2 linked regions of the Drosophila melanogaster genome follow. The protein of the gene in region 1 binds, or shares a complex with, the protein of each later gene. Each region holds a gene or a part of one and is shown on either strand. Other genes may lie near its edges. The genes, in order: Nfs1 and bcn92.

Region 1 (3,948 bases):
GTATACTCGGCTGGCCGTGATCATCTTCCAGAATGCCGCGTTCGTGGAGATACTCAATGCTTCTTTTGGATTGGTCAAGTCGAACCCGGTGGTCACTGGCTTCCAGGTGTTCAGCCGCATGATGGTGGTCGTCGGCGTGGTGATGGCCACGCCTACTGGAAAGGTTTCACCCGGTCTGCCCATCGCCCTGCTGGCCTGGGCCATCACTGAGATCATCCGATATGGATATTACGCTCTGAACATCGTCAAGGTGGTGCCGCATTTTGTGGTGTTCCTGCGCTACACCACATTCATTGTCCTGTATCCCATCGGCGTGACTGGGGAGCTGCTGTGCTTCTGGTGGGCCCAGAGCTATGCCCGTGAGAACAGCGTGTGGAGTGTGGTGATGCCCAACAAGTGGAACGCCACCTTCTCGTATTTTGGATTCCTGTGGATCGTCATGCTCGGCTACATCCCCATCTTCCCGCAGTTGTACTTGCACATGTTCGCCCAGCGCCGTAAGATCCTGGGCGGTGGATCCAGCGGCTCACCCCAGAAGAAGGCCAACTGAACCTTGACCAGCGGCGAATGCAAATTATTGCATCATTTGCATATCATTGGCCGTCGCACTTTGAGCCGTTTTCGCTTTTTGGGGTCTCTCTTGCCTCACCTCTTACACAAGCACATTCGTTCGGACTAAGCTTAGTTATAAGTGGTTTTGTGTACAAATAAACCTAGATACTCTTCCAACAAATTTATTTTCCCTTCGCTTTCAAAGTGTGGTGTAACAGTAACGGCTTAAATATTAGTACATTAATGCTGCGACCATTGGATGGTCTTTAGGTCGATGCCCTCTTGGACCATCTCCCACAGCGGCGACATCTCGCGCAGTCGCTCCACATGCTTGATGCACTTATCGGCGGTGTAGTCCACCTCCTCGACGGTGGTAAAGCGCCCGATGCCAAAGCGTATGGAGCTGTGGGCAAGATCCTCGTCGGTGCCGATGGCACGCAGAACATAGGAGGGCTCCAGGGAGGCGGAGGTGCAGGCGGACCCACTGCTCAGGGCCACGTCCTTAAGAGCCATCAGTAGTGACTCGCCCTCGACATAGGCAAACGACAAATTCAGGCAACCATTGTATGTGGCTTTGGCATCACCATTCCTGATGACATGCGGCAAGGCACTTGAAATCCTGTCCAGCAGGCGATTGGATAGAAAGTCCACCCATTTCTTGTCGTAGTCCATCTCACGCAAAGAAAGTTCCGCAGCAGCTCCCAATCCCACGGCGAGCGGGGCTGGAACCGTTCCGCTCCTTAGGCCACGCTCCTGGCCGCCGCCACTTTGGATGGGCTCGAGGCGAACCCTCGGCCTTCGTCGGACATACAGGGCGCCTACACCCTTTGGGCCGTAGATTTTGTGGCCGGATATAGACATCAGGTCAATGTTCATGGCGTTAACGTCCAGCGGGACCTTTCCCACCGCCTGAGCGGCATCCGTGTGAAAGAATACTCGGCGAGACCGGCACAGTTTGCCAATCTCATCGACGGGTTGCCGTACGCCGATTTCGTTATTCACCGTCATAATGGACACCAGCGAGGTCTCCGATGTGATGGTTTCCTCCAGTTGCTGGAGGTCGATGAGTCCGTTGGCCAGCACTGGCAGGTACGTGACTTTAAAGCCCTCGTTCTCTAAAGCACGACAAGAGTCCAGCACGCACTTGTGCTCCGTCTGGGTGGTGATCACGTGTCGCTTCTTAGTGCCGTAGAAACGGGCAACACCCTTTACTGCGATATTATTCGACTCGGTGGCGCCGGATGTGAAGATGATCTCCTTGGGATCGGCGCCAATCAGGGTGGCCACCTGCTCGCGGGCCTTTTCTACAGCGGACTCTGTTTCCCAACCGTAGGCGTGGGTACGGGAGTGGGGATTTCCGTAGAAATTGGTCAGATAGGGGAGCATAGCGTCCAATACACGTGGGTCCATTGGAGTGGTGGCCTGGGCATCCAGGTAAAGTGGTCTACCCTCGGTCTGTTCGTTCTTTATGTTGAATCGCACCTGTCTCTCCCGGAATTCTACGAACGAATACGATTTTGGTAAGCGGTAACTGTGCATCTTGGAGGATCCGCTTACCTTTGGATGTGGCGGCTGGTTTAGCCGCTGTCCTGGAGGAGGTGGCCTCGTGTCTAACCACATTGGCTAATGCATTCGTCGCCCGGGAGCGGAGGACCTGCGCCTGGATGCGTCCCAGCACTTTTTGCATTCTGATGGAATCCTAGAAATTCTGGTGTTAAAATTCGTTATCACGGATTTCACAATCAGTGGGACCGTATTCGGCGGCACGAGATATACCAAAGGACTCCGGAATTCACTTTAAAATTATCTGATTCGATTATGCAGAAGCAAGTTTCTGAATTTCTTTGAACATATGAAAAATGAATAGCATCTGTGCAAGAAACCAATATTTTTCAGATATATTCGCACTTAATGTATAATTTACAAGGAACTATATTTTCAAAAACCAGTTTTCATCTTAAATATGTTTGCTTACAAAATTATCTTAATCATTCAGCGAACTTAAGTTACGAATTCACGAAATTGCGCGCATAGGCACGGTATATTTTTCTCAGTGAGCCATAAAATACTCAAAGAATACTCAATACGCAAAGTAAGACAATTATAAACAAAAGTACAAAAGTTGAAGCAGTTTTGAAATAATAAATATAGGAAATAGGCAAAAATTAAAATCAAATTTAAATATGGTTGTCTGCCGGTTCTTTCAACAAGGCTCCTGCCGCTATGGCGCAAAGTGCAACAACGAGCATTTCGATGTTAAGTGAGTACATTGATATTAAAACTATGCAGATGAACTAATAACTTAATTATTTTAGGCAATATCTCAAAGCCGACATGGAATCCAGCCTCAATGGCAAGATGTGGCCTTTGTCCGCCTACGGACCCTTTAAGGACAAAGCGAATTTCCCCAACTTTATTCAGGACCAATCCTTCGAGGAGGTGCGGTTCATGTGTTACGAGGCCAAACGACAAAACCAATTCGAACAGTTCAGCCAACAGTTTAACCGTGAGGTCCTAGAGGCTAACAACAAGATGAAGACCATGCTTCAGATGTCGCCGCAGGTCCTGGAAATGATGATCAAGATCCACGAGACGCCGGAGGGCGGCACTGTGTCGGCTGCCCCTCAGCAGTCCAGTAATCCCTTCGCTGCAGCAGCTCCGGCTGCCGCCAATACATCTGCATCCATTTTTGGAAAGCCCACGCTGAGTGCGGGAAATATATTTGGGAATGCCACAAGCCAAGCCAGCAACACCAATAGCATTTTCGGCGGAACGATTAGCAATGCCAATGCAAGGAATAGCATTTTTGGTGTAGGAGCTGCGGCAACAGGTGCACAAAGTGTCTTTGGACAGCCACAGCAGCAACAGCTGCAGCCTGCTGCACAAGCTTTCCAAGGGGGCAACATTTTCGCCCAGGCGCAGGTTCAGGTGCAAGCTCAGCCAGTGAATCCTAATCCTTTCGGTGGTTTCCAACAGCAGCAGCAGCAACCGCAGTCGACGGGAATCTTTGGCCAAGCCGCAAGCCAAAATATGGGCGGAATGTTTACTCAGGCTTCTCAGCAACTACAACAGCAGCAGCAGGCAGCTGCCTCCGGATTATTTGCTCAAGCAGCAGCATCTGCATTCCCTAATCAACAACAGATGCAGCAGCAGCAACAGATGCAGCAGCAGCAACAGATGCAACAGCAACAAATGCATCAGCAGCAGCAGATGCAATAGCAACAAATGCAGCAGCAACAACAATTTCAAATGCAACAGCAACAGCAAATGATGCAGCAGCAGCAGCAGCAGCAAGCTCAACCGACCAACGAAATCCAGTCCTCAGTTTACAGTCGCATGGAGGATCTCAACGAGCAGGAAATCGAAGCATTCAAGGCGGATCAATTTCTACCAGGT
Region 2 (3,621 bases), on another chromosome or scaffold:
ATTGGCGAGGCGGTCTTCTCGCGATGCCTGTCTGCCCTGAAGGACGAGCGCGTCCAGGCCAGCAGCGTGCTGAAGGGACCCTCGACCAAGGCGCAAGTGGCCAACCTCACCAAGTTCCTCGACGACATCAAGCACGCTCTCTACTGCGCCAAGATCGTGTCCTACGCCCAGGGATTCATGCTCATGCGAGAGGCGGCCAGGGAGAACAAGTGGAGACTTAATTACGGCGGCATTGCGCTGATGTGGCGCGGCGGCTGCATCATCCGCAGCGTCTTTCTGGGCAACATTAAGGACGCGTATACGTCGCAGCCGGAGCTGTCTAATCTGCTGCTGGACGACTTCTTCAAGAAGGCCATCGAGCGCGGCCAGGACTCGTGGCGCGAGGTGGTGGCCAATGCCTTCCGCTGGGGCATTCCCGTGCCGGCCCTGTCTACCGCCCTAAGCTTCTACGACGGCTACCGCACGGCCAAGCTGCCAGCCAACTTGCTGCAGGCCCAGAGGGATTACTTCGGCGCCCACACCTATGAGCTGCTGGGCCAGGAGGGTCAGTTCCACCACACGAACTGGACAGGCACCGGCGGCAATGTGTCCGCCAGCACCTACCAGGCGTAGGTTCCACCTGCTCCACTTTCCCGTTCACACATTCCATGTCATTGGCGCCGGTGTCTTAGATGTTTCTTTTTTTTCTGGAGTACTTTAGTACTTATTTATACCATTAATATATATGTATGTATATAGAATTTCATAATTGTTGTTAAACATAACATTAAATTGGTGTTTTTTTGCTAGCAAATGATTTTGATTCCTTAGTTTCATGAATGCAAGTGCCATTTAAAATCAACAATGCGTGTGGTTTGGTGTGTTGTGTTGTGTGTGGGTCGAGTCTTTCGAGTTGTGTCTTCATCTGGAGACGCCTCCTGCTCCTTCTACCGCTCCTTCCCTGCTATTGTACTCTCTTCAGCTAGCGCGTTTTTCGCTCCGTATTTCCCTTAGTCGTCCGAGGGCTTCAGGGTCTTCTTGTTCTCTATAACCAGTTTGTCAGCGGAATACAGGTGGCCGATGATTACCTGTGGACATTCAAAGGTTAATAAACTCAACCGGCTGATAAGCGAAAAAGGGGCAAAATGGTTACTTTCGATTTCTAATAGGATGGTAATTGAGTTTTCCATTCCCCATATTTGCAAAATCAGATATATATGATAAAATCTACTTTAAATATACATTAATATTTTTAATCTTTAAATTGATTGTCTTTGATAAGGGAAGTAGTAGTTGATAGTAGTATTTTTATACCACTAATTATTTGAGTTCCTAACAACTTGGTAAATAAACGACGGCTCTTTTTGGATGCGCTGTGATCTCGAAGACGGAATGCCTTACGTTATCTGGATACTTTCAAGCATTGCTGATAAGGGAGAGGGGTGAAATCCGACGAACCACTCACCTGGCGACGTATCAGCTCCAGATTCTGTTGGCCCTCGGCCATTTGGCGATCGATCTCCGCGAAGTCCCTGGTGCTCCTGTTGGCGCGGAATGTGTCGCGTATTTTTCGGGCAGCGTACATTCTGAAATCCGGAATAGATTGCTCATCACTCGCGGCGGCCTTTCAATTTCACAACACCTACCTGAAGTTGTACGAGGGCAGCTTCTCCGATTCGCGCAGGAGATTCCTGTATAACGTGATCGCCTGGCGACGGGTCGACATCCTGGTCTTGATCCTGGCCGAATGGAACTGAATGGCGGGCGGGCTGGTGGATTAAAGTGCTGTTTAATTGATGAGTGCTTTGTTTTGACCCTGGTTTCTTGTTTCGGTGCGGCAACTGCCAATTGACCGCCTGATGACATAAAAATTACATGCGGAAAGCCGGAAAATACTGACTTTTCCGCTGCAAAATACCAGAAACAGCTGACTGCATTCACTGTGGTGTCACGTGCGTGAGTCTTAGAGATGACACTGCGTCGTGCGGAAATCATCGCAACTGAATAAAAAAACTATTTTTGTGATACTAAATATTATTGCAAAAAGTAAGAAATAAATTGAGTTCATAGTGCAGAAAAATAATTTATTAAGAATCCGAAATATTTAGAGGTAAATATTAAAATAAAAACCAAATTAACCTGCTCCCATTATACAAAATAAGACAACTGCCGCATTTTTTCAATTTTAGTTTTAATTCTGTTTGTTTTTTCCGCAAGAACAATATATTATGTACTCGTTGAAAACACAAAATAAATATATATATTTTGTTCCCGAAATTGTTTCTTTCTTGCACGCGCGCTTGCTTTTTAAATCTGACTTTTGTAGCCTAAAAATGACATTTTTAGTGGTTGTAAACGTACACATATATCCATATACATATATATATTTATTTATCAGTGTTAGTTTTATAAGTAGAGTTTCTTTAGCTTACGTTTAGGCAATAAAATAACTTTATTTCCCACATCTAATCTAGAATTTTCCTCTCTAACTCTCTCTTTACACATGTCTATCGCTCTCGCTCTTTCTGCTGCAGCGTTTTTGCTAAGAGCGCTTGTTTTACAATCAATAAAAAAAAGGTTTAATATATAAAGTATGAATAGGTAAAAAAAAAACACATTCGAAATAAACCTAAGACGCGTCCGATAAAATCGCTGATTAAAGAATATTTACATGGGTGTGTGCTTTCGAGGGTAAGCCGACATTTAGCTGCTAATATTGCTTATGACTATATAACGTACTCATATTAGTGGGGATTTGGATCTTTGTGTTGTTCGGGGTGTCGCTTTCGTTTCGTCAATCTTAATCATTTTCTTTAGTTAAAACGCAGACCATGCTCAGGAATTCGCTATCACTTTGGGTTAATACAAACGCAAAAACAGATCGCATTGTATCCTATCGCTCTTAGCTATATACTTCTATATATATATATATCTATATATATATAGCTGACTGAAACTAGGTGCATTACAGGCTATACACATACATGTAGTGATTGTTATATCAACACATAAACAAATTACATAATCACAAACAACAGAATTTTATTTTGGTGGCAGGCTTTCGGTGTGGTTAACGACAATTGCGATGGCTCTTCGATTCCGATTCAGATCCCAGGTCCGATTACCTGTGGCTGCTGTACGTTTTATAGACCCGCGGCGCCCTCGTCGTTCCTGTGGCCGATGTGGATGAGGGTGCGGAGCCAGAGCCGACCGTGGTCGAGCTTGTAGCAGCATGCGACGCGTCCGCTCCCACGGCCAAGACTTGCGCCGTCGTTTCCAGATTCAGAGGCAGGGGGTTGTCGTGCTCATCCGAGTGCTCGTAGATGTAGTCGCGCTTCTTAAAGTTGTCGATGATGCGCTTCGTGGACTTCATATGCGCCACAAAGGCTGCCTCCAACTATACAAATGGTGGAGAACGTTAACGAGTTAGAAGGTTGTGCAGTTTGATGGATTAAGGGTAAGATGGATTAAGCTATCGATCTGAACTGAAAATGTATGACATATTATGAGACTCACGCTGGATGTAAGGTTCATGAATGTGTGGTACTTCTCCAGCACTCCAATAATCTCCTTAAAGCTATTTCCTCGCAGCTGGCGGCGCACCACCGACTCGTACAACTCGTTGTCCGCTATCAGATTTCC

The links.
Region 2: Nfs1 (region 1) and bcn92 share a complex: the UniProt entries of both Drosophila melanogaster proteins name them as parts of the mitochondrial core iron-sulfur cluster (ISC) assembly complex.

What each region holds. Positions count from the first base shown.
Region 1 is NT_033779.5:11,998,016-12,001,963, reverse strand, and holds Nfs1 (Nfs1 cysteine desulfurase), read right to left. Parts: upstream 2,311-3,948; 5' UTR 2,240-2,310; coding exon 2,110-2,239; intron 2,052-2,109; coding exon 793-2,051; 3' UTR 720-792; downstream 1-719. Other genes in the region: Hacd1 (3-hydroxyacyl-CoA dehydratase 1), read left to right, coding at 1-550. UniProt on the Drosophila melanogaster protein: Catalyzes the removal of elemental sulfur from cysteine to produce alanine. It supplies the inorganic sulfur for iron-sulfur (Fe-S) clusters.
Region 2 is NC_004354.4:2,147,777-2,151,397, forward strand, and holds bcn92 (bcn92), read right to left. Parts: upstream 1,872-3,621; 5' UTR 1,706-1,871; coding exon 1,626-1,705; intron 1,566-1,625; coding exon 1,445-1,565; intron 1,068-1,444; coding exon 990-1,067; 3' UTR 687-989; downstream 1-686. Other genes in the region: Pgd (phosphogluconate dehydrogenase), read left to right, coding at 1-612; wapl (wings apart-like), read right to left, coding at 3,101-3,376, 3,496-3,621. UniProt on the Drosophila melanogaster protein: Stabilizing factor of the core iron-sulfur cluster (ISC) assembly complex that regulates the stability and cysteine desulfurase activity of Nfs1 and participates in the [2Fe-2S] clusters assembly on the scaffolding protein IscU.